Alligator mississippiensis: one gene and its partners. The protein of the gene in region 2 purifies or fractionates together with the protein of the main gene of each other region. This does not show direct contact. Links are inferred from orthologs where the notes say so. Each region holds a gene or a part of one and is shown on either strand. Other genes may lie near its edges.

Region 1 (7,939 bases), on a different chromosome or scaffold from region 2:
TACTATATTCACTCCCCTACAGTGCTGGTTGACCCACTTTAAATAATGAATTACCATCAATTGTAACAGCATGTACTGAGATCCCTGAGCAGGGGAAACAGCTGCTACACTATTGCAGTCCCTTTCAAGTACAGGGTACAGAGGTACAGGAGAGGAGACTGTTACATGCAGTACCTGGGCACTCCTTATTTTGACCCCATCTGCCCTTATTTTGATCTTGTCCCCAAGGTTTCCCATTGGGTGCGTGCTGCTAGTGATAATATATGTTATCTGAAGGTGAGTGCTCCCCACAACTACTAATTGAGGAGTATGGTGTATAGTGTTCTCCATTTTCTTTGACAGGTGACAGTGCCTTGTGTGGCTTTAGGCACCTGCAGGCACATATCCGATGGAGATAATCTATCTAAGGTAGTCCACTGTAGTGTATTCATTCTGCACCGGTCCTGCTTAGGTGGAGGGCTCAAAGCCACAGCATGTCCTTCTGACTGTATTTGTACATTTGACAAACCTGCCCCTCCCTGTGCAACTGCAAAGATCCCTGAGCACATTAGAAGGATGATGATTCTGCCATGAAGAAGGGTCAGATATGGGGACACTGTTTCTCACCCGGACAGAGGTACAGCAGAAATGGAGGCTACTACTACTGCCCTGAGATCACCAAGCAGCCACAAACCTGGCTTGGGAAAAGACTTTTTGCAGCTCCTCCGAGTACACCAATTAACTTGAGCTGGCCCTGATAACAGGATTTGACCCTTCATTTGACCCAACAGTTAAAAGAGGGAGATGGAACCGCAGCATCCCCAACAGCTTTCTTTAAAACAAGATTCTAATAAGATCTTTATTTTGTGTCTGAGTAGAGCTCTTGAAGACTGGCAAAAGGAAAAGGTATCAAAGTACTTAGGAGCTAAGTGAGTAGAAATTCAACTGGTCTGAAGATTTTAGGGCTTTTTACTGATTTATTATGGTATTCATTGGGATTTATTATTTCATGTAAAATATTCCAGCTATTTCTTTTCAAACCTATCACCTTAGTTTTATTTAAATGATCTTAGGATGCTCTGCCGACCTGTTGAGTCAGCAGACAGACTGAAACAATAGCTCCAAGAAGTGTGAACTTCCAGCATTTATCTTTATGGGGTGTGAACTGTCTTGCTAGTTAACTGACCCTCATCACACCCTCTCTGCTGGCCTCTGCAACTGAGACATCCAATTAAAATGGACTCATGTCCTGGACTGGATTTCTTTTTTTTTTTTGGAAAGATGTTCCACTGCAAGGAGGATGAAAATTTTGAATGCAAGATAGCCAAATATTCCTCCAGTTATTAGGGTAAAAGGCATGCTTGCAACTGTGCTTCTGATTAAGACAGAAAGTTACATCAGCTAAAAACTGCCGGACTCCCCTGGTGCTGTCTATAGAATCTAGAAGGGCACCAAAAAATTGTGAGTTTTCTCTGAAACTTGCTGCAGCAGAAGCAGCTGCAAAAGCATTTCAGTCTGATATGCTTATACATATCTTCTGAATGATGTTTTATTCCAATCCTGCCTCCCCCTGATGGCACAAGAAGGTTCAGCTGAGGGAGAAAAAGGTGTAATATTCCTTCAAATTTCACTCATAAAGTAGTTGAGGCACCAGAATAACTGGGAAGCCTCCCAGGAGATTTTCCAGAGGTTCAAAATAAATCTCCAACATGGTCCTTGGGATTAGCTCCCGCTGGTGCTCAGCTATCCTGCTTGGCCCTTCTTGGAAGATGCTCCCAGAGCCAGCCTTATAGAAAATGGCACCTGGAGTGAACTTGTATTTTGGTGCCCACCCCAACACCCCCACAAGTCAGCAGAACTGTTGCAGGCACAGTCGGGCAGGCTGTGGCACAGGGCACAATCCAGTGGCAAGGTGGAGTAGCATGGTGCGCCAGGCAGGCTCACACTGCCTGGCTCAACTCCTTCTCAGCAGCGGCTGGAGGCAGGGGGCCAGGCTGGGCTAGGCATTCCTCCTCCTGCCTAGGGTAGGGATTGGCCAAGGCGGGGTGGGTGGAGAGCGCCACTATGAGTGCAGGCTGCTCACAAGTGTGTGAGTGTGCACGCGCTCACAAGTATGTGTGCGTGCATGTGTGTGTGCACTCACAAGTGTGCGCGCACACGCTCACAAGCATGTGCGCACACGTGTGTGTGTGTGTGTGTGTGTGTGTGTGTGTGTGTGTGTGTGTGTGTGTTAGGCCTGTGCAAGTAGGCAGCTATTCGATCCGGCTTTGGATCCAGCAGCTTCGGATGCCAGGGATCCGATCTGCAGCTCCAGGCCAGGTTTCCACTTTGATCCAGCTGAAGTGGCCCTGAAGCTTTGAAGCCGCCTCGGAGATCCGGCCATAGGGTATAAGGGGGAATTAATGAAATAGCTATAACTTCAGGAAGCATAAGACTGATTCTCACTCTATTTTCTTATACGAAATGATACTGCTTCTTCAAAAAGACATGTATTTAGAGATTTTCACTATAGCCAATGCTGTGGGAACTAAACACCCCATACTGTCCTGCTGTGACAAAAGGTAAATACGGTAACAAATAAGTGGATACTTAGGACTTCCTGGTTATCATTCTAGTCCCACCACAGGTGCTCAGAATATGGGAGCTGCAGAGCAGAATTCAAATCCTTGTACTTCAGTAGCACAGGCCCTTGCTACTTCTGTCAGAGAAGATTTTCTGCAAGCAACAGTGTAGATGTCTCTGAGACACAATGCAATCCCTTGACAAGACTTATTTAAAAACCTATCTGTTAGTAAAGCATTTTGCATAATAAACAGATTTAGAGCCAGAAATACTTGGGGGCTGTGGGTAAAAAGGAAGTCCTCAGATCCTCTTCTGAAGGGTGTAAGAGAATGACAAGTGTTTTACCCTTACAGAACTATAAATATAACATGCAAAAGGTGACTGATGCTGCCTGCTCACATTCGTGTGCTTTTTTTGAGCTCTTCATTTAGCCTGGTAGCACAGGATTATTTTCATATCAAGTCAAGGCTCCAGTAGTATAAAGGAGCAGGGAAAAGATATACTTCATGTTGTAGTACTGCATGGAACTTGTGATGGAAGACAAGGCGGTCCTCTGAGATATTGTACTAGCTATACATATTAAACTTGTCCATTCAGTAGACCAGAGAGAAAGCTCCTTTGGTACAGACAATTAACAGTTGCAGAACAGAAGCAGATGTCCTTAGGATTTTTTTAAAAGAAGGTACAAGATGTAGCTAAAGGGGGAAAAAATTAAAAAATCCCTGTTCTCCCTCAATTTCCTTGCTGGAAATTAGGTTAAAGGGCATGTCTACACTAGGAAAAAAATCTTTGGGCTGTTCTGAATTTACAATGAAAACTTCTAACTTATGAAGCACTGGTGATTATTACCTTTGTCTTAAAGACCAGCACATGTCTACCCCATCTCCATCTCTGCTCTATTTCTTAGCATTGTGTTTGTTTGTACAGCATCGAGAACATAGCCTTTAATGCTGACTGTGGGTTTAACAATATTATTGTTGTTAGTAGTAGTAGTAATAGTAATAATGATGATACCAGCTTGACCATCTACTCACTCTGTGCATGTGTCCTACAGAAAGGCTATATTTCCCACCACAATAAACTTCCAACGTTAAATATTCATCATCAAATTACAAGTGAGAGGACCTGATTCTCTACCTTCTTCCACCAGTTTGACATTAACGTGACTCACTTACCGTTAGTGGCATGACTGGTGCAAAACCAATACAAGGAAACAGAGAATCAGGTTCATAAGACATGAGAAGTTACAGCTGAGAGGAAAAATGGGAAAAAAATGAAACACTGAGACAAACAATCAAGATCCTATATTGTTATGGCTATGCTAATGATATACTCTGCTATAATTGGGCCTGTGGTTGAATAAAATGAAGGGTTGCAAATGAGGATTAGGTTACATAGATGCCACCATAATATAAACAAACACTACTTACAAGAAACTTATCCACATGCGGAAAAGTCTATTATTTTAACCCCTAATATAGCAGGTGAAGACAAAGAGATGATGTGGGGCTTGATCAACATACAGTTAGTGACAGTCCCTGCCCCAAGGAATTTACAATCCTTCTGATGAAGTCAATTAACCTGAGCCTAAACACATTACCGCTGACACCGGGATCATGGCTGGATGTCTGGTCCGTGTCACTGCTGTCTCTGCAGCAAGCCCAGGTATAGACTCATTTAAGGGGAAGCTAGAGAAGGTGAAAGTAGAGATGTGAGGAATGTGTTCAACCTGTCACCTGCCTTCACTTCCTGGCCCTGCCCCTGCCCCCACCTCTCTACTTCTACCTCTACCCCTGCCCCCTGCTCTTGGGCTGGGGCTGCAGAGCTAGTGCCCTTTCCCACCTGCCCCCTCCCCCTGCTGCGCCTATGCCCCGCACGCTGCCCTGCCCGACCTGGCAGGCAGGGAGAAGAACGCAGGCCGCTGCATCCTGCCTTTGCCCCTTTCATGCCACTCACACAAGCAGCTGACAGCCCAAGAGGGCGGAGCTTGAAGAACCAGGGCGGGGCCCCGTATGCAAATAGAGAACCCCCGGCGGGGAGACGTTGCGCATGCGTATTCAGCGCCGGTTGAGGCCGGCTCTTACACAATGTGCTGCAGGGCGGTAGGCGCCTTCCTGCGCCAGGGCGTGTCCGAATATGCAAATGAGAGCCCGCATCGCCTCGGCGATTGGAGGAAGGGCAGGAAGAGGTGGGACCGGATATGTAAATAAAGCCGGCGTTCTAGGGTGGGGGTAGGGTACACCGAGAACTCAGCCGGCATTTTTCGTAAAGGGGGCGGAGCCTGGCGCGAGCCTTACCCGGCGTCCCGCGCGCGGGTGGGCGGGGCCCGCATGCAAATCTTGGCGCCCGTTCCTCCCTCCCACCCCCGCTTTAAAAGCCGCGGCGCCTGCGCACTGAGGGCAAATAAGGACTTAGTCTGTTACACAAGCGGCTGCGGAGCGAGGGGCTGCGCTGTGGCCGCCGACTCCACTGCTCCCAGGCGCCTCAGCTCTCCCGCGGCCTCCCCACACAGCGGCCGGCATGAGCGGAGACCAGCTGCACAACGACTCCCAGGTGACCCCCCTCGGGCACCGCGGGGCGGGCGTCCCCGCCGGCCCTTCCCCACTGCCCTCGGCCGGGCCCTTCCCCGCCGGGCCCCGGGCCTAGCCACGCCACGGGGAGGGCGCTGGGGGTTTCCTCCCCTCCCTGTGCGGGTTTGGAGGGTGGGGGGGACCCCCCGACCGGGCCGCGGATGGGGTGGGGGGGGCTGCTCCCTTGTGAAACGCAGCCGACATGGAGCCGCCGGCGCCGCCGTAACCCATTGTCGCTTGTCTCCGCTTCCCCCCGCAGATCGAGGCGGATTTCCGAGCCAACGGTGAGTCCGCCCCGGCCCCGCGGCCCCCGCGGCCCAGCTCGGGCACGGCCAGACATGGCGTCCCAGAGACTAAGTCCCGGCTGCTCGCTCACCGGCCCCATTGTTCCCATCGAGCCGCCCAGTGCTGCCGCCTGCTGCCGCCGGGGCCCCCGCCCGCCCGCTCCCCCGCCAGGGGCGGCCCCCCGGCCCCCGCCCCGGCCCCCATCTCGTCCCCGGGGCTCCCCTTGGGCCCCGATTCCTCCCTGGAAAGTCGCCTTGTCGACGGTCGGGACTTAGTCTCTGCGCCATTTTCTTTTTCTCCTCTCCTCTCTCTCCTGTGCGTGTGTCTTTTTCTCTCCTTCTCCTCCTTCCCTTCGCCGCTGGGAACCAGCCTCCTGCCGAGGAACCCGGGCCAAGTGGCCCCCTCCTGCCCTCGCACCCTTCTTCCTGGGGGGGAAGGCGATTATTTTTTTAGGCTAAATCGGCCCCCCTCCCCCTTCCTCGAGCTGCTTTTGCTGCAGCCGCCCCCCTCGGCTCCCCGGCTCCCAGCCTGCCAGTCATTCCCTCCCTTCCCTCGCATGAAAGGTGGTTGCAACATGTTGCTCTTTAAAAGATTCTGCTGCATCCATTTTAAGCCCAGGCTTTTATTTCTTTGAATGGCTTTAACTTTCACCTGGCTGGGTGGGGCTTTAACTTTTATTTTCAGCTTCAGAAAAAAACTATAAAAGACAGCCAAGGCAATGGCAGCAAAGGAGAGGGCATCACTTCAGAAAGTTCACCAGTCCGCTGTTCATTGTGGTGGGGAGGGTTGGAGGAGTTTTATGGGTGGCAGGGGCTTTTTCTTTCTTTCTTTTGGGGGTGGGGGGAGGATCTATTACAGGGTAGCATATAGGTTGCACCTCTTCTCCCCCCCCCCCCCCAACTGGTGGGTGGTATTGTTCAAGGGACTATTATTACCTGCCTCTACATCCATGTGTCACTGTTACACGGTGAGTTACATGAAGAGCTCTGTCCCCTGATTGATGGAGGGTGGAGACGGGGGGAGGACCATGGCCCAGGTGTGTGAAGGTGCCTTGAACTCATTCTTCCCTCACTCTGGAAAGGTCACTGAACTGGCCCCCCACACCTTTGGGGCAGCACTGTTTTTATGAGCCTAGGTTCTTGCCTTCCCTGCCATACTGTTTTGGATACTGTTTGTGTGTCTACCTGCTTTGCAACCTGTTCTTTGTCTTGCATGTGAATATTAGTGTGTACCCATCTCTTGGTACCTGTGCATATGAATAAAATGAAATGGTGTAAGTGTGTGTATGTAACAGGATTGTGGTGATTTAGTTACTCGGTTCTTAAACAATTTTTCCATTATATAGATAACGTGAAGCCCCAAAACTAAATATTTAAAGGAAGAAGGGGAAAATCGCTTACTGCTTGGACCCGAATTGGGTTTCTTAGAAATACTTAAAATATGCATGTGTATGAATTTTTGTAACCTTCATATGCAGATAAATATTAGGGGTAATTGTAGTCAGAAAAAAAAGCCTCAGTTACTTGCTAATTTACATATGTGAAGTGATGCATGTCGATCCCTCTATCCCAAATTGTGGTGACCAGCTTAACTGGGATTTCCCTTCTAACATATTAAGGCTAGCTCTGCTTGGTTTCTTTTGTTCCTAATTAGGGATGCTTTTAGAAATGCAGTGCTAGATGCTCTTAACTCTTAGCCTTTTCTTGTCCCCGCACAACTGCTGAAGGAAGTCTGGTACACAGATTTAAACTAAGAACATGTCGGGTACCTCTGACACTGTACACCGGTGAATTAAAGGTGTCTGAATTTCGGGCAGTGAAGGCATTGTAGACTTCTGCCTTCGCATTGCAATCCCATATCTTCCTTTTGTTGTCAGTAGACATGACTAGCTAATTTTTTTTTTATTTTTTTTTATTTATTTATTTTTTTATTTTGTCCCTTAGTGGCCCAGGAACTCTTCAGCAATGAATGATGCTTGTAACCCTGTTTGGCTTGTTAGGAGAATAGCACTATTAGTAGCCTGTGTCTTTTCTGACCTTGCCAAAGCTTTAACTTCTGGGAACATGGAGTTTTTTTTTTCTCTTCAGGTTCTTCCTTGCTTCTATTGCACAGTAATATCCTTTGCTTCTGTCACATAGCAATCTTAGAATATCGTCTTTCATTTTAGGCATGGTGCTGGGGCTCTGCTTTTTATATACTTGTTTTGATTTTTTTTTTTTAATTAGTGCTGAGGATTGGGTGGGGAGTAGTAAGACTCCCACGGATATTTTTTTTCCAAACTCTTAAAAATGTTGGCTACTTTACTCTGTTCTGTGGGCAACAAATGTGTGCGTCTCTTTTTTTTTTTTTTTTTTTTCCAGACCCTTTGCTTATTACAGTTACAAGGCTGAAGGGAAGTTTCATTAATCCATAAAATATAAGTATTAGGCAGAGATGCCTTCTTAGGAATAAAGAATATATTGGGTATCTTCTGATTTATAGTATTTATAATGCATTGGCTACATACTTGCAATTAACTATTCTTATTATGACAAGGAACTTGA
Region 2 (7,014 bases):
ATTACACATAGACTGTACTACATCTGTGGAATATTAAGTGATGTTATAAATTAGAACAGGTTGTGAGCAGTCACACACTAAGAATTAATACCTGCTGCCTGATCAGGTCTGACTGACCCTTGGAGGGCTGGTGAACAGGAGTAGGGCTGGGAGCCAAGATACCTGGGCTCTACCCCTGCTCTGGGGTGAAGGAGGAGGCTGGGAGCAATGCATCCTGAGAGCCAACTGAATATATCCCCATGGAGCCAACTAAAAGGAGTTAGGAAGAACATCCCAGAGTTAACCCTCACCTGAAATTATGTAACTTTGAGAATCAGAGGATACTTAGCATGAGTTAATGAGCTTTAACATGTGGATGTGCACATTTTAAGTGCTCTTAGTATGGTCTAAGTATGTGTAAGTTCACCCTTAAAGGTGACCTTCCTCAGAGGCTACGTGGGGTCAGCCCTCAGCAGAGCTCTGGAGGCAACCACCAGTTTGTTTAAACCAAGGAACATCATTGCTTTACACGGCCCCATAAGCAAAGCAGTAGCCTGTCTACTACTCTGGATCCTAACCACCAACGACTCAGGGAAGAGCAAACCAAATAGAGGTGGGAAAATTCCAAATGTAAATAGATGTAAAGCACACAACACAGGGAGAGGGAAGCCTCATACTTTTTAATCTCTTCTCCCTGCCAATTGTCCTACCATGCCTTATAACTGGTCAAACATGAACCTGATATCAACTGGCCTGGCTGATTGGTTCTCCTTCATCAGTTACATGCATACTAGTCTGTTATTTTAGTGGTTGGGGAGGACTGAGCCAATCTGACCACTTTGTTATTGCAGATTCATTTCTAAGCAAACCTTTTATTTTTAAAAAGAAAAAAAGTGTGTCCCTAATACAGTGAACCAATGCAAAATGACTCAAATGATAATGCCATCCATGCCAAAGCCTTGCTGCCTCTTTTACTGAACCATGTGAAAAATGTCTTGTTTAAATTCAAATATGTCACTGGCTGTAAAATTAAATCCTTCTTACAGGCAGCTTCTATAAAAGGTTTGAGATTTGCTGAAACTTACATTTCCAAGTGTGCTCTCCAGTTTGGGATATGTCATTTTTCAGTGATGGCACCCAGTCTAGGACACCTGTCTGGCAGACTCAGGGCTTCCTTTTCGAAGCACTGAGCAACTTGTACTTCCCATTGGCTCCTGATGGAGTTATGCCCATTCAGCGCCTGTGAAAGTAAAACCCCTGCTGTGACATATCGGGAGTTCCATTTTTGAGCATCCACACTGAGGAGCCACTTTTAGAAACCTGGGTTGCCTGTACATGGGCTCCGACATGTACAAATTAGAATGGGTTGGAGCAGATTCAATTAATCAAATCTGTTCTGCATTCTAATTAGAACACTCTAGCATCACTGCAGTGTCATGTGTATAAACCCCATGGGTTAAAAAAATGGACGCTGGGGCACTTAGACTAAAGCTTGACAAATGAGCTTTAGTTAAAGTGCCCTGTGGCCATTTTTAAACATGAAGTGACTTAATCCACATGATGCTGTGGCATTTTAATTAGAGCAGCTCTCTGGGAACCACTCTAATTAAAACACCGCCACCCCACACCCCAACACGTGTATAGCCAATAATTTGGCCCTAAACAAGTAATCCAGCAGGTGGCTGTATTGGATGACCTCATGAAGTAAATTTCAGCCTTACTTTCCTATGATTTTATGAACTGAGTTTTCCTTCCAGAGGAGTTGTGTTGTAACCCAGTAATCAGCTCCCCCTCTTTCACAGAGGAGATGACTTAATTCATTCTCATGATGTCATTGGCTTCATATCTGTGATCTCACAGAACACTGATCTGCACAGAAAGATCACTTCATTTTTTATGCACCAAAAGCTGCTATTTACACATAATATTCGAGAAAAGGCACCTGCTTTTGAGCTCTGACATATATGACAGCAGATGAGGGAAGCAGGATGAGTGGACGAGGAGACTATACTAAGAAAACCTCAGGTGCTCTTTGGATGTGTTTCCAAGTAAGGGCATATTTGCAGCGCTGTGGGCATTGAGAATGGCCAAAGCAATGGGATTCCTGCATATGCACACTCTATTTATATATTTAATACACAATCTTGCTGATCCTCACGGCAAAAGCTACTGAAGAGACATAGGCTCAGATTCACCATTGACCTACAGTACCTCAGGCTGATTTTGCTAGCACAATGGGGCTAAAGGGAAAGTGTAAAGTAAGGTCCTTTACCATTTCCCCTCGACAAAACCTTTTATTTTGGGATCTTACAGACTAAGAGCCCATTGTCCCACCCTGAGTGCCTGTGCAGTAGCTGCGAAAAACCAAGATAACACTTCCCCCTTTTAAAACTAGGGCTAATTTTCATTCAAGACTGTCGTGGGCCTGTTGTGACAGGAGTCAGATGGCAACAATTAGCCACCATAAAAATGGACAACTGGTTTAAGCCTAGTGAACATTTAGTATTAATAGACTTTTATGTCGCTGTGTCAGTACAGACAGCTGTACATGGCTGAAACAGGTAGTTAGTCTGAAGCCAGGCAGAAGGCAGGGTGGGTAGCACTTCAGGGCAGGGTGACACCTTATAGAGCAGGGTTGCCAAAGATAAGGTCCAAGGGCTGGATCTAGCCTGAGAAGCCCCATCATCTGGCCCCTGGTGCTGCTCCTGGGTTTAAGTTTACCCACACACCGCACAGCACATGCTGGACTGGCCCTGAACACAGCACATGCCGGACTGGTCCTGGGATACATTGCGCCTGCGCTGGCCAGTCGCAGGTCTGCGGTGGACATGGTGCCAGTTCCAGCAGGTCTGGTGCCCTTGCTGCATGCAGCACCCAAGGGAGTCCTTTCCAAAATAGGCTGTCACTCACAAAAGCTCATGGCTCTCTGAACCAGCTAGTCCAGCGATTCTCAACCAGGGTGATACCAGATCTTTTGGATATAAGTGAGGCATACGGAGATAAATAAGGAGATAAACAGATAAAAGACAGGATCAGGCTTGTCCCTATGTGGCCAATCCTCCACCCACAGTGCCTGGCTCCTCTGCCCAGACCTGAACTATCTACATTACTTTTCCATAGTGGGTGCCATTCAATTGCCAAAAGCTATACTGGGGTGCCTGAAGTCCAGCAAGGGGCACCTTGAGTCCAGCAAAGTTGGAAACCACTGAGTTCGTGCCACGTTGCCCTGCCTTCCGGCTTATTTCAGCACCCATCATTTTAGCAAAAGCTTGAAGATTAAAAGGGACGGGGAGAAAGAGACCCAGGGGGACACATCATCCACCCTGGTGGGATGCACTTTATTCCCTGGTGTTTTTGCCCGAGCAGTTTCAAATAGGACTTTGTTTGAGCATTGACTTCAGAGCCTGGTGGGTCTGGACAGCAGGGAGACAGGGATCAGAGTACAGCCCCATGGGGTAACCGCTATAAGGAGTAGGGGGCGGGTCCTGCTCCTTAGCCCAGAGCAGCAGCAACTCCACCTGTTTGGGTGAGCACATGGGGACTTAGCCAGGACCCAGCCCACGGGAGTCACACGGCACGGCACGGCACGGCACTGCGGGGGTGGAGGGAGAACACAGCCAGGACAGAGCTCCGGATACTTCCTGACGCCTGAAACCTAACTCCCCCAAGCCCCCAACTCCCGCAGCCAGGACTCCTTCAAAAAAGCAGCATCGGTCCTTCACCCCCTCCCCCACTCCCCTTCATTGTGATTAGTTGAGCCGCCTGCCCGTCATAGCTCTCGACCAGCTGATTGGGTGGCCAGCTCCTCCCCATCCCCCTTCTCCAGTGTAGCTCCTTAAGCAGGCCACTGGCTGGTTTGAACGACCCGGCGGGCTGCGATTAGCTGCCGGGGGGCCGACCCGCCTCCTCACTGGAGAGCGGGGGCGCTGATTGGCGAGAGCCGCCTCTCCCGGCGCGCTGTGATTGGCGGAGCGGTTTCGGCGGGTCCGGCGGAGGTTTGAAAGGCTGCGAGGCGGCCGATAACGGACTTTGTGTACCACAGCCCGCGGCGAGCGTCTGCCCGGCCCGATCTGTCTCGTCTCGTCTCGTCCCGTCCCGTCCGCCCCCCGCATCGCGCCCCGCCGCCGCCGCCATGGAGCTGCACGAGTCCCTGTCGTCGCCCCTCAGGGTGCGTCCGGGGCCCGCCTCTCCCTGGGGCGTGGGTGGGGAGCGCACAGCACAGCACAGGGAGAGGGCGCGGGGTGGGTGGGTGTGGGTGTCACCACCCTGTGTTGGGCTCCGGTGCCAGCGGTCTCGTGTCCCCGCGGGCAGGAGCTGAGCGAGAACCCGCAGGCGAAGGCCGCCGGGAAGGCGAAGCGGCTGTCGGTGGAGAGGATCTACCAGAAGAAAACGCAGCTGGAGCACATCCTGCTCCGGCCCGACACCTACATCGGCTCCGTGGAGCTCCTCACCCAGGTGCCCGCCCGCCGTCGGGCGCGCGCGGGCGCGCGTGTGTGTGTGCGCGTGCGCAAGTGCCGCGGGTCCAACCTGCGTGTGCAGCTGCCAGAAACCCTGTGCGTGCGTGTGTGTGTAACCGCCCGGAGTCCAGACTGTGTGTGCACGTGTGTGTGTGCCAGAACTCCTGTGTGTGTGCGTGTAACCACCACAGATCTACCCTGTGTGTGTACAACTGCCAGAGGTCTAGTTAGCACGTGTATAACTGCAAAAGATCTGGTTAGTGCACCTGTGTGTCTAACCGCCAAAGATCCAGCTGGCGTGTGTAAGTGTGTAATAATCACAAATGGTCCCGCTCCTGTGTGTGTTGTGAGAGATGCCGGGTGGGGGGTTCAGGCAGAGCAGAGCAGCTCTTGCCTTACTGAGTGGCTGAAGTTACTTTCGTAAAATAGGAAGCACCAGCACATCCTCTTTTGTCTCCTGCGCAACCCTGTGAGGGGGCACTTCCAATGGTTTGCTATTATCAAACCGTGAGATGGGTTTTGATTTTTAAAGTCTCTGGGGGAAGCTCGTTCGCTGTGTTTGTACACATTTAAACTCAGTGTGTTTGTACAAACAGTGCCACATATAAACATTGTGTTTGTACAGCACCGTGAGGCTGCTAGGCATTGCCACGCTAGGAATTAATGCGATTACATTTTAGCCATGGCTGTTGTTCTCCCTAGAGCCTCCATCTCTGTTCTGTTCCTTCCCATTGTGTTTTTGATGCAGTATTTGCAATTTTATTTATTCATTAGATTTACATGCTGCTTTTCCCAGCAAAGGCTCAATGTAGGCAGAAAGTTCTTGTGAGGGTTAGTGAACATAGAGCCATTTAAGTGGTGCTTACTTAAGACTGCTTTGTTTAATTTAAATGGGATGTTTTTCCTAGCCGTTTAGTACAGATATCAACTGTGATCAATAATGTTAAGTGCTTGTAGCTTGCTGGCGTAGTCATGTTCCCATAAATTAGAAAGAAATTACAATACTCTACATTGCCTGTTCAGTAGTAGTTAATTCCTTGACATAAAAGTTAATGATTTTCCGTTTAAACAAGAGTTAGTTAATTAGAAAGCAATGTAGTGTAACTTTGATTTATAAATTAAGGGTAAAGAAATCGCAGCAGATCTGAAAAATATTGAGTGTTTCTCAACTTTATTTTCAGCAAATGTGGGTATATGATGAGGATGTGGGACTCAACTACAGAGATGTGACTTTTGTGCCTGGATTGTACAAAATCTTTGATGAAATTCTAGGTAAGCTGAGGGATTTAACAGTTCAGTGGCTAGCAATTTATTCTGAAAACAAATTCTGGATGCCTGCATATTAGGGGAACCCCAATTGTTTACTTCATTTAGTTAAAAAAAAAAATATGTTTGATGGTAATTTAAAATAACCCTTAACTGTGAGGATTTGCAAAGCATTTTTAAGACCATGGGGGCCAACCTTTTCAGCAGTCATGCCTTAAAAGAGCCCTGCATCCTTCCCAAGTGCCACTGCAGTTCCCTATCTGTCTGATCTGCTGTTCTGCTTCATGTCCTATACTCCCTGGCTGATCTTCTGCTCTGCTTCTGCTGCTTTCCCTATTTGCTGTTGTATGGTCTGTCCCTTCCTTGATCTGCATGCCTCACACACAGGTTGCCCATGGCACCTGTGCCACAGGTTAGCCACCCCTGCTTTAAAATAATGTCCTTGTATCTTCAAACATAACTGAGAATTGTTTAATACTAAATTCCTAAAACAAGGTTGTCAAGCATTCAGATCTAGCCTGCAGAGCTGTGTCATACAGTCTGTTGGGCTTCTGGAGGAACTGGGAATGTGGGGCAAGATCCATCACTCAATCCCAGGGTATGAAGTTTTGGGGTTTGTTTTGGCAGTGGGTGGGCGAAGCACGGCTGTGTTGAGCCCCGCAACTCCCTGAGCCAACGCATCAACTCAGGCACTTGTAACAGTAGTCCTGATCCAGTCGATGAATAGCCCCGTTGGTTCAGATCCAGTCCAGGGATGCCAGACAAGCCTGACAGCCATACTCTTTGCAGCCCAAAGGGTGTACCATGGTCTCTGAATGTATGTATTCTATTAAAAACTGTTTGGATGTAAAGTTTTTCTATTCTAAGCAGCTCAGATTTCTCACTCAAAGTAATCTGGTAATTCTTTTCATCTTTAGTCAATGCTGCAGATAACAAGCAGAGGGATAAAAACATGTCCTGCATTAAAGTGACAATTGATCCGTAAGTATTTTGTTTTAACTTTTGTTCAGTGATTTTTCCTCGGGTGTTATGAGCAAAATAGTTCAGTATGTTGGCACTTGTATATTTTACCCTTCTCATGCAGTTAGACTCATAGATACTGGAGAACATGTTGTGTGACCCAACCAGAAGTAACTCCTGCAGCTCATCAGATAAATAACTGTGCAAGTTTGTCATTTTTCTTATCTTGGTCTCCTGCAAAGTGGTGATTTCAGGTCCAATCTCTGTTTTTAGCTTTTTACTTATTTTGTCCTTTTCAATTTTTGTACTGCCTTGTCCTCTCAGTTGCACCATTTCGTTTGTGGAGCATAGA
Region 3 (7,173 bases), on a different chromosome or scaffold from region 2:
GGGTATAGGGTGTCCGCTAATGCCAACAGCATTAACAATTTTTTTCAGAAAGAAGTATGTTAGAGAAATCAGAGGCTTTTAAAGTGTAGAGGGAAGCTCCTGTGTCTACCAGGCAAGATATAATCCTGCCGTTTACAGAACAATTAAGAAAAGGACTAGATTGGTCAAGTGAAATAAGTGGGGCAATGATGTCATCCTTCAGGCTGTCCTATGCTTGGGTAGGGAAAGGAGGAGAATAACCTGAAGGGGGAGCTGACAGGCTTGGTTTGTTTTCTGATTCAGATGGGGCCGGATTTTCAGCTAAGGCTGGATTGATACAAAAGTCTAATACGTCTTCCAGAGGTTCAGTTAGTGGGGGTACCCCTTTCAGTATTGGGTATAATGGACTGCAGTTTGAATTTAGGGGAGCGGCCAATTTCTCCTGTGTTTCCTTCAATTGTTGTTTAAAATTTTTTCCTGTGAGTCTTTCAGGCTCTTGGTCTGAGACTCAGTGCGTCTTTTTGACATCTCTTCATACCAATCGAAAAATACGTTCCACTGGCATTGAGGAGTTTTGGATTCACGGGACTCTAACGTCCCTTTTAAGTGCACTATTTTTTCTAGATTGAATGTGCCTTCCTCAGGGAACTGCTTGGAAGGATCATCCCTGGTATACCAGTACTATTTATCCAGGTACTTGCAAGTCTCGGGAGAATAATGTGTGTACATATAGTACGCCGGAGTTCCCTTAGAGGGGACTGGCACTTGCTTTGACTGTCCTGTACCCATTTCACAATCACACAGGGAAAGACAAGACAAGGGAATGGCTTATTAAGGAAGTCCGTGCCGATCCGAACTTCAGCCTGCAATGCTGCCGAGGTGAGTTCTGGATTTGGCAACGGCTCATAAACAGACCGTTTATCTACACAGTAGAATAAGGGTGGGGGAACAACAAAAGGAGTCTGCTAAAGTCACAGAAACCTGCTTGTAGGCCCATCTGTTGACTGAGGCTACATACCTTTTCGTAGCCCCGTCTGATGACTGAGGCTACATACCTTCAGGCAGCTGATCTATAGCGGCTCATGAATGGAGGGGGGGAACACAAGACACAGAGCAAAACAAGAGGGTGAGGGACCAGTGAAAAGTTCACTGGGGAGGAAGAAAGGGTTGATTTTGTCTCTCAACCTTGGCTCCCAGTGACTATTCTTTCACCACGCACCCTTGCATTCGAGTTGCGCCGGTCATCGTCCAAACCGGGCTCACGTACGTCTCGGGGCGGCTGCACGTGGTTTCAGAATTTGCCCTGGACCAATTCCAAATCACCATTCAATCAGGGTCACAATCTTATTTCCATTACCCACTCAGACTTCCTAAAGCCCAGTGTTGTGCTGGATGCAAGTGCTTGTGCAACAGATTCTCCCTACCACTTATGCGCGCTTTCCAGAGACAGACAGAATTTTACCGGATTAGTGTGACCGGTCTTGGTTCTACACTGACCTGTAACAAAGGTTCAAATCCAGCTACCCAACATGAGCAGGGAGCCTATGAGCAGTCCTCCTCCGACACCCCAACAGAGATTTAAAAGGCCTCTTACCTTTATTGGTGGTGCTGGGGTTCGATGGGGAATGGCTCACGGTCCTCCGAACACATCGTTGGCTGTGGATCCGAGTCACGGCACCATTTAATTGTCGTGGAAAAAACACGCTGTAGAATTTGGAATCAGGTCAGGTGGAAACTTTATTTCGATAACTATCGGAAAGAGACCGTTAAAGGGAAGATTCCCCCTGGCTCTCTGCCTTACAGCAAGGGCAATTAACCTTTTATAGATTCAAGACAAAGGGTTTCCTAAACTAGCTTTTCCCACCTTAGGGCTATCTGTTTTGTGTCCTTCAAGACAGCTTTAGTGGTCATCTTCCTCTTATCTAAGGAATTTCTCTCTCTCCCCCCATGAGGCCTCAGCCATTCTTTGCTTCCACATGGGTATCCACACACCCTCCTCACCAGGCTAGCCCAGGTGGGGGGGGGGAGTGCCAGTTTAGTCGCTGACAACCATACCAGGGAACAGGCTGTACTGGTTTACATGGTACCAGATAGCCAACCAAGAGAGACCTGGCCTAACAGGGAACAAGCAACAGGTTACAAAAATCTTATAACCATATTCCACCCATACCACAGCATAGCCAAAGATGCTCATACAGGATCTCAGAGGAGTATATAACAACCATTACTAAATCCAGAAAATGTATTCAGCACTAAAAACTGAAATTCCTAAATAGCTCAGTGGCTGATTAATACCTAGAGCCAAAGTGGACCTTTGCCCATTACAACCATCAACATGGCTTGACCATTCAGCCCCCTGGGACTCTAATAGCTGTACCAGTAGGTGCCTTGATCTGTTCAAGGAACAAAGTGATAAATCACCTCAAACTATAATTTATTCACAAAACTGAGGAAATGATTTCTATTTCTTTAGGAGGTAAAACACTGGGTACTCTTGACTAGACCATAGGCTAAATCATAAATTATAACAATTGACATGAAATTCAATTGCATAATTTGCAATCCAGAAATTTTAAAATTCTATCACTCTATGCTGCAGTCAGTAGGTAAGTTTGTGATTCAAGTCAGCATTTACTAGTTTTAATCTAGCTGGCTTGGATAACAAATTTATCAGTGAAAGTGTGAGAAAACAGGCTTCAGGATGGGCCAACCTGGCCAGGAACCAGGGGTCACTACTTGGGAGACTAGCCTCTTCTGAGAGTTTTGCTACCATGTCTTCACTGCTATTGCTACTCAGACTAGCTACATTATCAATTGTGGTGCAGAGACACTTGCTCTATTGACCTGTGAGCATGCTTTTGCTTTAAATTAAGGTGATACTGTCAGAACAAAAATCATAATTCCCTTTGCGGTGATGACAATGTGGAGCTTGTATGCTCCCTGGTGCCAGGGAACAGGCGCAATCTGCAGCTTGCATGCTCTGGGCAGGGACATGCAGGCAGTGGCTGTGCCCCAGCTCCTTGCAGCAGGGACAGCGTGGTCCGGAGACAGTGGCACACTCCTGCCTGGCGCATGCAGATTGCCCCAGCTCCAAACCACTGTCACCACAAGGTCCCAACCCAGCTGTGGAGCAGCTCCACACCCTGCTGCGTGCCCTGCCAGCAGGGGCCACACTAGGGAGGGACTTGGGGGCTATAGCCACGCCAAACTTCCCCGTAGCCCCCTTTGGGTTGGGGGTTTGTTTGTTTCTGTGAGGCCTGGCAACACTGTTCTCAACCTGTTTGCCTTCATAGGCCACACTTGCAGCTCTCAACATGTTCTTAGATTCAGACGGGAGAGTTGTATGGGCTGCACCCACACAACTCGCTTCCTGTACCTCCAATTAAAAAATGCTTTAACAGGATGTTACATGGGCTGCAGCAGCACATGCGCAGAGAACCACTGCCCCAAGCTGGTGCCCTGCCCTGCCCTCTGCCCTCGCTGAGCACCTCTCTGGCTCCTGAGGCCAAGGCCCCTCTAGACTCATCCCAAAGGGACCCCCAGGAGCCAGGTGTGGGGAGCAGAGGCAGCCAGGCAGGATCCAGCTGAGGCTGGCTCAGTGTTGCCAACTCTGATGATTTTTGGCATTCTTAAAAGAGTGAAAAACGTAGCTCTTTCCTATATATGTGTGTATGTATTTATGTGTGCATATGTACATATGTGTGTATGTATATATATATAATATACATATGCATTTATAGATATGTGTGTATATATGTATGTGAATGTGTATATATATATATATATATATATAAAAAGAAAGCTAAATTTAAGCCTAGCTACAGACACCGCCCGTTCCCGCGCTGCAGCCCGCGCCCGCGTCCACCCCCGCGAACACGTGGGCCCCTCCCTCCCTGACGTCACAAGGGCGCCCGGCTCCCGCGCGCGTTGCGTGGCGCCTGCGCAGTCCCCGCCCCCAGCGCGGCTTCCCCGGCTCCGACCGCGCATGCGCCGCGCCCCATGGAGCCCAGGGAGGCGGGAGCCGTTCCGCGGTCGCCCCGCCCTCCCCCCGCGAGGGGGCGTGGCCGCACGCGCTCGGCCGAGCCCGAGGGCGGGGCGTCCCTCAGCAGCCCCAGGTCGAGCAGCGGCAGCGCCGAGCCCGAGCCCGCGTGGTGGCGCGCGCAGCGCCGCGCCAAGGTGCCCCGAGCGCGCATGCTCCGTCCGGCGCGGCCCGGCCCCGCGCAGGCGCAGGGGGAGGGCGCAGAGCGCCGGCGCGAGGGGCCGTGGCTACCGGCTCTAGCCGCCATGGAGCGGAAAGGTGAGCGCCGCCCCCCCCTCCCCACAGCCCCCGCGGCCCGGCTCCCCTCCCCCCGCCCTCACCCCCACTCCCGTCTGTCTCTCCCCGCAGTGCTGGCGCTGCAGGCCCGGAAGAAGCGGACCAAGGCCAAGAAGGACAAGGCCCAGAGGAAGTGAGTGTCCCCGGCCGCACGTGCCTCCGCGCCCCCCGGGGGGTGAGGGGGGCCCGCGGGTTGCCACCTCCTGCCAGCGCCGGGGTGGGGGGCTTTGCTTGGGGCCCGCTGTGCCTGCCATCCCCGCGCTGCGCCCGCCTGTCGTGGGCCCGCCTGGCCGCCGCGTCCCCGTGGGTGCGGTGTGGCCCAGCTCCCTGTCGCGGCCTCTCCCCCGGCTCGGGGTTTGCCAGCGGTAAGGTGAGAAGATGGATCCTAGCTTGCGCTCAGCCGCTCTTTCTGCACTAAATTTTTCTGCTCTGCTCCTCTCCGCCCCCGTTATCTCTTTTATTAAGTTCAAAGGGTGTCCGAAATAAAATCTAGCCAGCTTTACGGTGGATGGTCCCACCTATGGAGAGCAGCGCTTGTCCAACCCGTTAGTCTGCGGTTCAAAAAGAATAAAAAATGAATAACTGATTCGTCTGATTTGCTGCAGAATAACGTTCGCTCTCCGTTAATAGGTCAGAGCCGCTGGCGAGGGTCTGGTGGTTTTGGCTATAGACTTAATACATTTCGTAGACATGAGGGGCTGGAAGGGACCTCGAGAGAGTGTCGGGTCCAGCCCCCCTGCAGGGGCAGGAAGTCTGCAGGGATCAAATTTGCCAGTCTTGAGGGGAGTTCGCAAAGTGGACGGCACAAAACGGCTGGAGGGCCGTGGAGGTGTAATGCATCTGGAAGAATGTACTGCTTTCTAAAGCTCTTTGTGGACATACCGCAAAGGTTTTGTTATAAGGTAGTATTCCTCTGTCTTTATTTCTGAATGAAGAGTCAGATCGGGGCGCATAGCTGGGATTTCTGTGTATTTGCCTGGCTTTTCGGTCAACTGCATGGGGAATAATCTCAACTCCAGTATTTATGAATGTAGTCCAGGACTTCTGTTTGTAAAGACTACAGTCCATGCGAGTCATAAAGCTTTTATACAGTGACTTAAAGCTGGTGGCTCTGTAAAAATCCCTTCTAACGAACTAGCTAGAGGAGGGCATTGGCGGTCAACATTGTTTAGCTGTTTGCTATTTTCAGGTGTGTCACTGACTGCTGTATGACTTCTGGCAAGTCCCTTCATCTCCAGGCTACTGATGCTCAATCTGGTCCTGATGTTCACCTGCCTCACAGGCATGTTTAAAAACGTTTTAAAGTTACATATTTCTTTAACTCTGTTTCTAGCGTTTCTGAAAAATTGGTGAAAGATTTTGTGTTCATTCTCGTTCCACCTTTGGCTGCCAAGAGAGTGTGGTCAGTTTTGCTTTCTGCTGCTTAGACAGTAGCATTGTACAATGTGTTATTTAAATATAAACTTGTTCTAGTTATTCTTCTAAACTTAAGTTTATTGGAACTTTGAAATAATTTTTTGATACAACCAGAATTGTCTGAAGTGCCCTTTCAAACGTCTTGTTGTGATCCTTGATCCTTTGATAAAAGGCTGTATATAAGTGCAAAGTAATTAATTTTGAGTAATTGGGGAAATTTTGTCAGTATTGAAACAAGATTCGTTATGATAAATGTATAACTACAGAACATGTTTCAGATGGCTGTTCAGTACCCAACTCAGTGCAGTTAGTTTAAAAAAGAATGAGTTAATGTTTTATTTTCAGATCTACAGCAGCTTTTTAGTCCTGCACTTGATCTTGCGATGCAGTAGGTGTTTATTACTATTTAAAATTGTTTTTTCTTGTTGCCCTGTGAACGGCTTTCAAAAACAAGTTGAAACTCACTGTATAGGGAGACCCAATGAAACTGATGGTGGATAAAGAGGATGAAAAATAAGACAACTTTCATCTTTCAGTTATAGTAATCTTAAGTGCTGCTTATGGGAATAGGGTGTATTTTAAGAAAACTTTAAGCATTGTGACTCAAGTTGCCAAGCCAATAAGCCAACTTAGTTAAAACTAAATATTAATTGTAAAAGCAAGGGCATTGATATTGTCTTTACGGACAGATTTAAATAGCTTTCTTCTGTGTCCCGCCCCCCCCCCCCGCCCCCCCCCATGTCCGACAAATTCCTGTTTGTGACATAAGCAGTGGGGGGGGGCAGGGAGAGTGCTTATCTGAAGGTAATCTGCTGTTGAAAGAGGAATGGCAAGGACTCTGCTGTATGGAGGTGAAGCACCTGTACCTGCCTTCATTCCCTAATATCTGGAAAAGTGGTCTTTCTCTTTGTGGGTAGATGGAGAAGATTCATAGATTACATATAGAGTCGAAAGGGACCTTGGAGGATCATAGTGTCCAACCCCCTGCCCCAGGCAGGAAAAGGACCGAGGTCAGAAGACAACATGCTAGTCAGTTAAGTGCTGAGCTGTGGTCAGCTTGGAAAATTGCATTATTGGAGGCTACCAGAAGGCAGGGGCACTGTATTAAAAACTCTAAACACTTAAATGAGTACATTTTAAAGCAGATGAGCAAACCAAATGTTCTCTTGGTATTTCCTTAATTGTGAGAGCAAATAAAAAAAATACTGCTCTTTAAATGTTAAAAGAACAGTAAGCACCTGGCATGCAGACTGCTGCAGTGCATGTTGTTGCCAGAAGATAATGCAATACAGTATTTTTCTTTTTTTTTTTTTCTTTTTTACTCTAGGTGGATAGCATGGAGGATTCCTCCAACAAGTATATCCCAAATGATGATAAATGAGTTTAAAAATTTCAAGAGTGGTATTATTAATCTTAAGCGATTTGGCTTTGTGGAGAATCTTATTTTTAGAACGTGATCTTAA
Region 4 (7,834 bases), on a different chromosome or scaffold from region 2:
TGGGAAGAGGCAGGGCCCTGGGTACATATAAACCCCAGGGCTGGGATGAGAGGGTCAGTTCTCTGTCAGCAGCCAAAAGGGAAGGAGCCTCCAGGGAGGAATCGCCTAGAGATGTTGTGGCTACCTGATATGCTGCACTTAGGGCTAACGAGGCTCCAGGAGCCCACCAGGTACCCTAGCCTGCAAGGCACTTGGTGGGGGGGTGCGGGTTTGACTTGTTTAAAGGGACAGAGCACAACCTAAACTGCTGGTGTTATGTTATAGCCCAGGGGCTCATTTTAATTGCTGTTTATAGACCAGTGGATTGGGCTGAGGCTATTGGGAAAGAAGGAGGCCTCATTTGGGGCGGGGGGGCACTACAGTGTGGGGACCCCAGTGCCAGGGGTGCGGTGACAAAGGGGTTGAGCGGACCCCAGTGCCAGGGGGAGTGGAGGCAAACGGGGTGAACAGACCCCAGCGTCAGGGGTGTGGAGACAGGGCTGTGGAGAGCCCAGTGATGATCGGAGGCCAAGCTAATTAAGGCCCCAGAGGGGCAATGTGTAAATGCCATGCCCCAAGCCTCGCAGATGGCAAAGGTGTGGTTTTGGAGCCCATAAGGCTGAGGGTGCTCTATGAAGCAACCATCTTGTGCAGGACCCAAAATGGGTCCAAGAACCCACAGGGTTCAGTGGGGTCCATCAGGACCGTGTCCAAACAATCTTGAGAGCAGCCATCCTATTCATAATAATTACCAAGAAGACATGGCAGGAGAGAAACAGGGTGCCCGTTGGGCAGGATTGGCATAGTCAAGGAGCCATAGGAGTATCTAGGCCATCCCTGGGGACCCCATCCCCTGACAATAAATAAAGCACTGGTTGGAAAAAGGTTGCATTTGGTGCCTTTGGTGTCATAAATGTGAGGTCCAAGGAACGCAACCCCTCAATTTTCTATTATTTCCTATGGGAAAATTCACTTCAAGTTGCATGAATTTCCGATACGTGAAGCTTCTCAGGAACGCAATGTATGCATAAGTTGGGGTTCTACTGTATAGGAATGTATTAAGTAACATCTAGAGAAACGGGTTAAGCAACTGAAAAATCCTTGATGTCAGCGGTTTGTTGAAGCTTTGCAGATGTCTCTTATGCCAAAGACAAAAGGAAACACTTGATGGTCCCCATCCCCGTTCCCCGAGAAGGGTCCCCAAGGCCACCATGGACAGAGGACATACCAGCAGCCTGTCTTATGTACCCCACCAAGGAGAGCTGTGAGCCTCGAAATCCCACCTCCAGACCGATGACACCTAAGAGGGAGCCTCAGAAGTGACAATTGCATCCTGGCCAGATGTACCTTGACTCTGATGACAGCCCTAGGACTGGTAGATATAGAACTGTTTGTGTTGTGGGTTTTTGTTATCACTCTGTATCAATAAACTCGCCTATTATCAACTGGCATGTGTTGTGGTCAGTCTGAGGGTTGTGCTCACCTGGAACAAAGGTATAGGGGCTGGTTCTTAAAATTCAGCCCAACAATTGGCCACTTAGCCAGGACACAAGGGCAATAACCTGACTGATCAGGGAATCTGTTGGTACAGGGTGACCCTTTCTAGAGGGTTTAGCTAAGGCTTGTAGTAAAGTAGAACTGTATGGTAATTGTGACTAAGGTTGTAAGTTTTGTGCAGGAGAGGTTGTTTGTTACTGTTGATTGGGAGACTTTGTTTGCCTAGGTCAGGCAGAGTAATGGACATGGTTACATGCTATGGTCCTCTTGGGATTAAGTAAGAACCTCCTGTCGTGTTTGCAATAGGAAGCTAGAGAGCAGGGAAATTCATCTCCCTGCTGGAAAGGCTGTGTGAATGAGCAGGGCCCTTTTGACTCTAAGGTCCTTGGGAAGGGTTACAGTCTTTTGTGGATGGTTACAAGAGAAGTTTTGTGTGTTTTCCATCAGGTGTAGGGTACAGGTTATGGCAAGGCAGACAGTGCAGCTTCAGAGAGACCAGAAACAGCTAGAAAAACATTACATTATTCAGTTTAAGATCAAAGCAGAAACCTTCCAAGGATGTGCGCTAATGTCTTGGAACATATATAAAATTTTAAAAATACAGACTAGGCAAAAGTAGCTAAAAAATAGTTTTATTAGTCATATAGCCATTATAGTGAAATTTATATCTCTTATTCAGATTCTGAAAACAAAATCTCATGTTCTTGAATACCTCCAATACCTTGACTCATTACTACACCTGAGCCTAAGGGTTTTAGCTTGAGCTAAAAGCAGTCTGGAGGGCTGTGAAATAGAAGAGAGACATTACTAGGAATGGCCAACAAATAGCAACATAGCAAAAGGAAGGATAGTTTGAATAGTGGAACAGCAAGACCATTAAAAAAGAGTCATTAATACCTGTCAAGCAAAGGGAGATTAGCAGGCGTTAGATGGATTATAACCAGGGATCCTGGCTTTCTCTGCTAAAAAAAAAACAAACAAACCCCAAATCTTTTGTTTTTGTGGGTTGTTTTTTTTTTTTTTTTGTTTTTTTTGTTTTTTTTTTTTTTTCCCGAGATTAAAATGAAATGCCACTATACGAATACATATATACAAGACACGGGTCCAGTTGCGGCCGTCTCACTTGCTACTTTGTGGTGCTGAGCAGCCCTGATATGCAGGTGCCCTGCACCTGCCAACGCTGTTGCCCTTTTGGTGCCCCTTACTCCTGAAGCCCAGCCCTGCTGGTGCCCCATCACTCCTGACCTATTGCTCCCAATGTGTGAGGAAGGGGGTGGGTGTGTGGGGAAGTGGGGGGTGTGGGCACAAGTAGCACATTGGGGGGCACAGACAGGTGAGGGGGAGGCATGTGCCCCGCAGATTTCTACACCCACAGCAAGATGGGGGCTGCAGCCAGGCCAGAGCAGCTCCATACAGGAGCTGCCTCTGCAGTTCAGCAGGTGGGAACCCGAGTGGGAGGGAGCGCCACACTGCCATGGCTGCCAAGGTGAGATGCTGATGCAGAGTTCTGCACCTTGCTGCTGGGCGGGCAGGGGGTGCCTCACCTTGGTAGCCATGACAGTGCAGCACTCCCTCGTGTGTTGGGTCCCCCCTGCTGAGCTGCAGAAATGGCTCCTGCCTGGAGCTGGTCTGGCTCAGCTGCAACCCCATGCCCTGCACCCCACTATGAGTGCAGAAATCTGCGGGGGCACATGCCCCCCACCCAATGCATTTCCTGTGACCCCCTGCATAGACTTACCCGGAGAGAACTGCTTTCCTACCATGCCTCCTGGTTGCCACCTGCATGTGCACATTTGTGTGGCACCTGCTGTGCCCCACTCCCCCCAGCCCCAAGCAGCTCCTTGCAGGCTGGAACTGTCAGTCTGCAAGGGGAAACCTGTTTTCCTGGGTTTTTCTCTTTTAAAGGGGATATTTCTGCGGCAAACAGAAAACCTGAATCCCTGATTTATAACAAGTCATTTGACTCCCTCAGGGGTGCCCGCACAGAAAGGCCACTGCTTCTCCTAGGCAGGTAGGTTTCAAGTTTGGGTGGAACAGGAATGAAAGAGAGGTGACGACCACTACAAGTATCTAGGATTTTGAGAAGTGGGGTGGAGATGGTGAGGCACATCCTCCCGTGTAACACAACTGCTGTTTTTCTCCTGGAAAAAGGAAATGAGAAGCTTTACTAATACGCCAGGGGCCAAGGGCTGCCTCATTCAGTTTAAGACCGAAGCAAAAACAAATATTGCTTCTTTGGAAGGAGTAAAAAAGCAGTTTGCAGGGTCAGCAGGAGTGGGGAGCAGCCAGCAGCATGGCAAAGCAAAGGCTAATTGGACTGGTGGCACAGCGAGACCATTACAAAGGAGAGGGGGGCCGTTAACACCCAGGGACGAAGCCCCTAGAAGGGCTCCCAGGGAAACTAATAAGCTGTCAAGTCAAGTGACTCCCACAGTGCTGCCTGACTACAGCCGCTGGCGCCACTGCCAGGCGCTTGCTTCAAAATTGTAGGTGGCAGCTACGCGGCGGAGCACACAGCAGCGCGTCCTGCTAGCCAGCCAGCACTAGGGCCGCAGGGAGCCCAGTGGGCTGAGGGCAAGGCCCTGCCGGCTGCAAATTGAGCCCCTCATCCAGCATTGCCAGGTGGCAAGTATGAAATTATCCAATAGGAAGCTCAAAATTATGATATTTGCTGAAAAACTACCATACACTGAAAAAACTATGCAAATAAGTCTTATTCATTTCTATCGCTTGCTATAAATTGCCAATGAGTGAGTGAGAACTGGATCCTCAAACTTGAAGCATTTTTTTTATTTTGAAGCAAGTGTCATAAGAAAGTGCTGATAGCAAACCTGAAAGTCACGTTTTGTGTATGCTCACCAATTAAGTGCCTCCAAAGTTGCCGGAAATTTTGAACACTTTAGCTAGTCTTGATTGCACAAGGGTTGAAATTATCGTGTAAATACGGTAATCGTCGTCATTGCCCTCACCCAACCAGCACTTCTCACTGCGCAGGCGCGGCGGGGAGCCGGGGCGGGACCAGGAACACGGCTCTGCCGCCCGCTCCTCCCATTCCATTGCAGCGGAGGGAGCGACGCAGGGCCTGGCCTGCGCGCGACCCCGAGCCCGCTCTTCCCCAGTCAAGGTGGGCGTTATAGGGCGCCTCCCCTACAGCCCCGGCCTCAGACCGCTTCCCACCCCCGCACCAGCGGGGCCGCGGGTCCTTTAAATGTTATCCGCTGTCTACTGGGGACATGAGGTGGTGGGGGGCTCGCGCCTGTAACAGTTCCTGCCCCGCCCCCTTCTACCGCGCAGGCGCCTCGAAAGCAAGAGGCAGGCACATGGCCAACGAGCCGCGGCGTGGGGGCGGGGCCTGGCGATCCCAGTAGCCACCGCGCGAGTCGCTGGCGGGGTTGCTCTTTTGCGCTGCTGGAACTGGGTTGTGCGGCTCTGTTGCGGTGACGCGGCGGGAGACGCCCCACGGCCGTGTCCTAGCAACCGGCCTCCGGCGCTTTGAAAGCCGCCGCCGGAGCGGGGGTTGACACTTGCAGCCCCCTGCGCCCTCGGGCTCGGGGCGGGGCCTCCCTCGGCCTCGCGTCCTACCCGCGCGAGCTGCGGGGCGGGGCGGACCCCGCAGCTCGGCCGCGTCCAGGCAATGGAGGCCGTGGGCCCCGCCCGGGCCCCGAAGCGTGAGGCGCCGGCGGAGAGCGAAGAGGACGTGCAGTTCGTCAGCGTGAGTCTTGCCGCTGGGGCCTGGGCCCCAGTCTCCCATGCTGGTGTCCCTCAGTCCTGACCCGCAGCCCACTGCTCCCCCCCCCCCTTGCGCTCTGCCACAGGGGCCCCCAGCTGCCCCCATCCCACTCGCGCAGTAGCTGCGGCAGCAAAACAGGTCTGGCCCCTGCACAGGCTGGAGCGGGGAGGAGGAGAGGCCTGTGGCACCGAGCCTTCCCTGGGCTGGGGCTGCAAGGCTGCACCATGCCAAGCAGCCTGGTCCTGGCCCCTCCTGCCCCCACCAGCCTCCTGGCTGCTCTGCCCCAGCAGGCATGGGCACCAGGTCCGGTGCCAGTGCTGCGATGTAGCTCTCTCCCCTGCCTCTTCCTTCTATCTTTCTACCCTGCCGCAGCTCAGGACCCTTTTAAATAGTCTTGAGACCCACTTTTGAGTCTTGACCCATGAGTTGAAAAATGCTGCTCCAAAGCAAGGTCTCAGTGTCAGTCCAGACACTGTGGAAGTGGAGCCCCTTCCTCACCCTCTGCCCCTTTCCCCCCCTCTCACGCGTGCTCCCTAGGCTTGCGTTTCATTTACTGCGAAAGAAAAAACCAGGTCTTTGCCAGGAGTTGCAGGACTTGGGAGAAGGAAATCGATAGCGACAGGGCATTGTTGACTTGAGGCCACGGTTCTGCTGAGTTCTGTGCAGGTTCAGACAGGTGGTGCCTGAGGGCTTCATGGAAGCTTGAGAAATTGCAGTAAAGCTGGTTGTATTGGGGATTACTTGCCTCTGGTAGGAGCAAATGACTGAGCAGAGGAGCCAGGTGAGCAAAGTTGTCAGGCAGGTGCATGGAAAAACTGGACGGTTCACTGGGACAGTAGCGGGTGTAATCCTACAGGGTGCATTTCTTACTCCACAAGCAATCCCAGTCCCTTTAAAATCCTTGAGACTGTTTGTTTGTGGAATAAAGTTCTCCCTGGGGTGCCAGAACCTGGCTCTGTGGCGCTACCTGCTGAAGAGAGGAAAATTACTAGGTTTTATCATATTTACTTGAATCCAAGATGGGGGGTTTTCCCCCAGTCAGCCTGGGGGTTGGGGAGGGAAAGCTTTATCATGGATTTGAACACCAGCTTGGGGTAGGTGGGTTAGCTTAGCTCCAGCTTTGACTTTGGGCCCCTGACTGAAGATGAAGCTGAGCCATGGCTTGCCTTGGGCTGGAATAACTTGTTTGGTAGGGGAGGAGGAGCATGGGGAGACTTGAGAGGGGAGGGCCTGCAGCCTCTCTCTCCCACCCCGTTCTCCCCCATTTTTGTGGCTGAGCCCTCCTATCCCCTGCTCTCCTTCCCTTTTGCTCTGGTTCCTTTAGCCCCAATCTTGCCAGGCTAGGAGCTGCTGCTGCTGCTGCTTCTCTGTGGCCAGGCAGGGCAGGTGCCAGACTGCTACTGACTGCCCCATAGGACCAGAACTGCAGCTGGAGGGAGCAGGGGGTGGGAGTGGCAGGGTTGGGCTAGAGCTGGGTGTGCTGGGCTGCAGGTGACTGCCCTGTAGGAGCAAAGCTGTGGCAAGAAGTTTGCTTATGAGGGAAATGAGGTGTGGATAATTTTGCATTTATGTTGGTCTCACTACTATCAGTGAAACAGTATAGTAGTGGAAGGAGACAAGGAAGAATGGAGGGATGACTTAGTTATCAGGGAAGCTGCTTAAGAACAAGTTGTACGCAAACAAAATTTAAATAAGGGAAATTTTGCATCTGCAGTGGGTTGAAGGACTGTGGGAGGAAGCTGTAACTAAAATAACAGTTCAGTTTTACAGTGAATTGTGCACACTTTTAATGAGTCTGTTCTGTAATTACCCTTGTTCTCACACTTTGAGTGAGGATATAGTCTCCTTGTGCACAGGATAATGTTTGGTGTGATGAAAACTAACTGGTAATGACGAGCTTCCAACTACTACACTAGTTGATTACTGTAGAGAGGGGAAAAACTTTTTTCATTACCATCTGCCTGCTTTAAAGTCCTGGTAAGTGTGGTGACTGTGGACCTGGAGTCCCAACAGTTTGATGGGAAGATTGATTCCTTAATACCAAGCTAATAAGCAAGCACTTCAATCACTGTGCTTTCTAATAAACACAAGGGAAAGGCACGGTGGGTTAGCGCCCTGACTTCATCCCAGGACTGGCTTGAGGGGGTCCTATCAGGACAGGCAGACTGCACAAGGCTTCTCAGGGGCAGCTCTGTGTTAGGACTTCCCTGAAAGCAGCATGATCCATGATGGGTAACAGCAGCAGACTTAGTACATAGTACAACATGTCTGTACCCCCACTCCATCCTGTTCCCCCTTTACTAAACCATCTTTCACTTAAACAAAAAGTGCTATAGCAGACTGGGTTTCACATGTCAGTTGTTCAGTGGCGGAGCTCACCTGGTGCTCCATAGGTTGGTACATGAGGCAGGGAAGAATACTTTTCTCTATTGTAGGCTGTCAGCAGGATAGGTAGGCAATTAGTATATAGAGATTCTTTTTTTTCCTTGATCCAGTTACAATTACTGGGTGTTAAACTAGGAAGTGTTGCTGACCAGGAAATAAATAAGGCTTATTTATTAAGGTTAAAACTTAATCACAGATCTATTACTTTTATTTAATATTAACTTGAAATGATTAGTAATGGTG

Evidence for each region. The genes of interacting proteins can lie anywhere in the genome.
Region 1: the proteins of TOP2A (region 2) and TOP1 purify together in Homo sapiens (co-immunoprecipitation; 4 studies listed by BioGRID and IntAct, with this or other methods). This does not show direct contact. The link is inferred for Alligator mississippiensis from reciprocal best matches to the Homo sapiens genes TOP2A and TOP1.
Region 3: the proteins of TOP2A (region 2) and SRPK1 fractionate together in Homo sapiens (co-fractionation; 3 studies listed by BioGRID and IntAct, with this or other methods). This does not show direct contact. The link is inferred for Alligator mississippiensis from reciprocal best matches to the Homo sapiens genes TOP2A and SRPK1.
Region 4: the proteins of TOP2A (region 2) and ZNF451 purify together in Homo sapiens (affinity purification with mass spectrometry; 3 studies listed by BioGRID and IntAct, with this or other methods). This does not show direct contact. The link is inferred for Alligator mississippiensis from reciprocal best matches to the Homo sapiens genes TOP2A and ZNF451.

The regions. Positions count from the first base shown.
Region 1 is NC_081832.1:17,920,126-17,928,064, reverse strand, and holds the start of TOP1 (DNA topoisomerase 1), read left to right. Parts: upstream 1-4,933; 5' UTR 4,934-5,061; coding exon 5,062-5,094; intron 5,095-5,370; coding exon 5,371-5,395; intron 5,396-7,939. UniProt on the Homo sapiens protein: Releases the supercoiling and torsional tension of DNA introduced during the DNA replication and transcription by transiently cleaving and rejoining one strand of the DNA duplex.
Region 2 is NC_081827.1:164,313,768-164,320,781, forward strand, and holds the start of TOP2A (DNA topoisomerase 2-alpha), read left to right. Parts: upstream 1-4,005; 5' UTR 4,006-4,111; coding exon 4,112-4,147; intron 4,148-4,290; coding exon 4,291-4,434; intron 4,435-5,617; coding exon 5,618-5,708; intron 5,709-6,619; coding exon 6,620-6,683; intron 6,684-7,014. UniProt on the Homo sapiens protein: Key decatenating enzyme that alters DNA topology by binding to two double-stranded DNA molecules, generating a double-stranded break in one of the strands, passing the intact strand through the broken strand, and religating the broken strand.
Region 3 is NC_081837.1:36,208,961-36,216,133, forward strand, and holds the start of SRPK1 (SRSF protein kinase 1), read left to right. Parts: upstream 1-4,167; 5' UTR 4,168-4,170; coding exon 4,171-4,276; intron 4,277-4,366; coding exon 4,367-4,427; intron 4,428-5,483; coding exon 5,484-5,576; intron 5,577-7,173. UniProt on the Homo sapiens protein: Serine/arginine-rich protein-specific kinase which specifically phosphorylates its substrates at serine residues located in regions rich in arginine/serine dipeptides, known as RS domains and is involved in the phosphorylation of SR splicing factors and the regulation of splicing.
Region 4 is NC_081824.1:51,324,186-51,332,019, forward strand, and holds the start of ZNF451 (E3 SUMO-protein ligase ZNF451), read left to right. Parts: upstream 1-4,828; 5' UTR 4,829-5,110; coding exon 5,111-5,188; intron 5,189-7,834. UniProt on the Homo sapiens protein: E3 SUMO-protein ligase; has a preference for SUMO2 and SUMO3 and facilitates UBE2I/UBC9-mediated sumoylation of target proteins. Plays a role in protein SUMO2 modification in response to stress caused by DNA damage and by proteasome inhibitors (in vitro).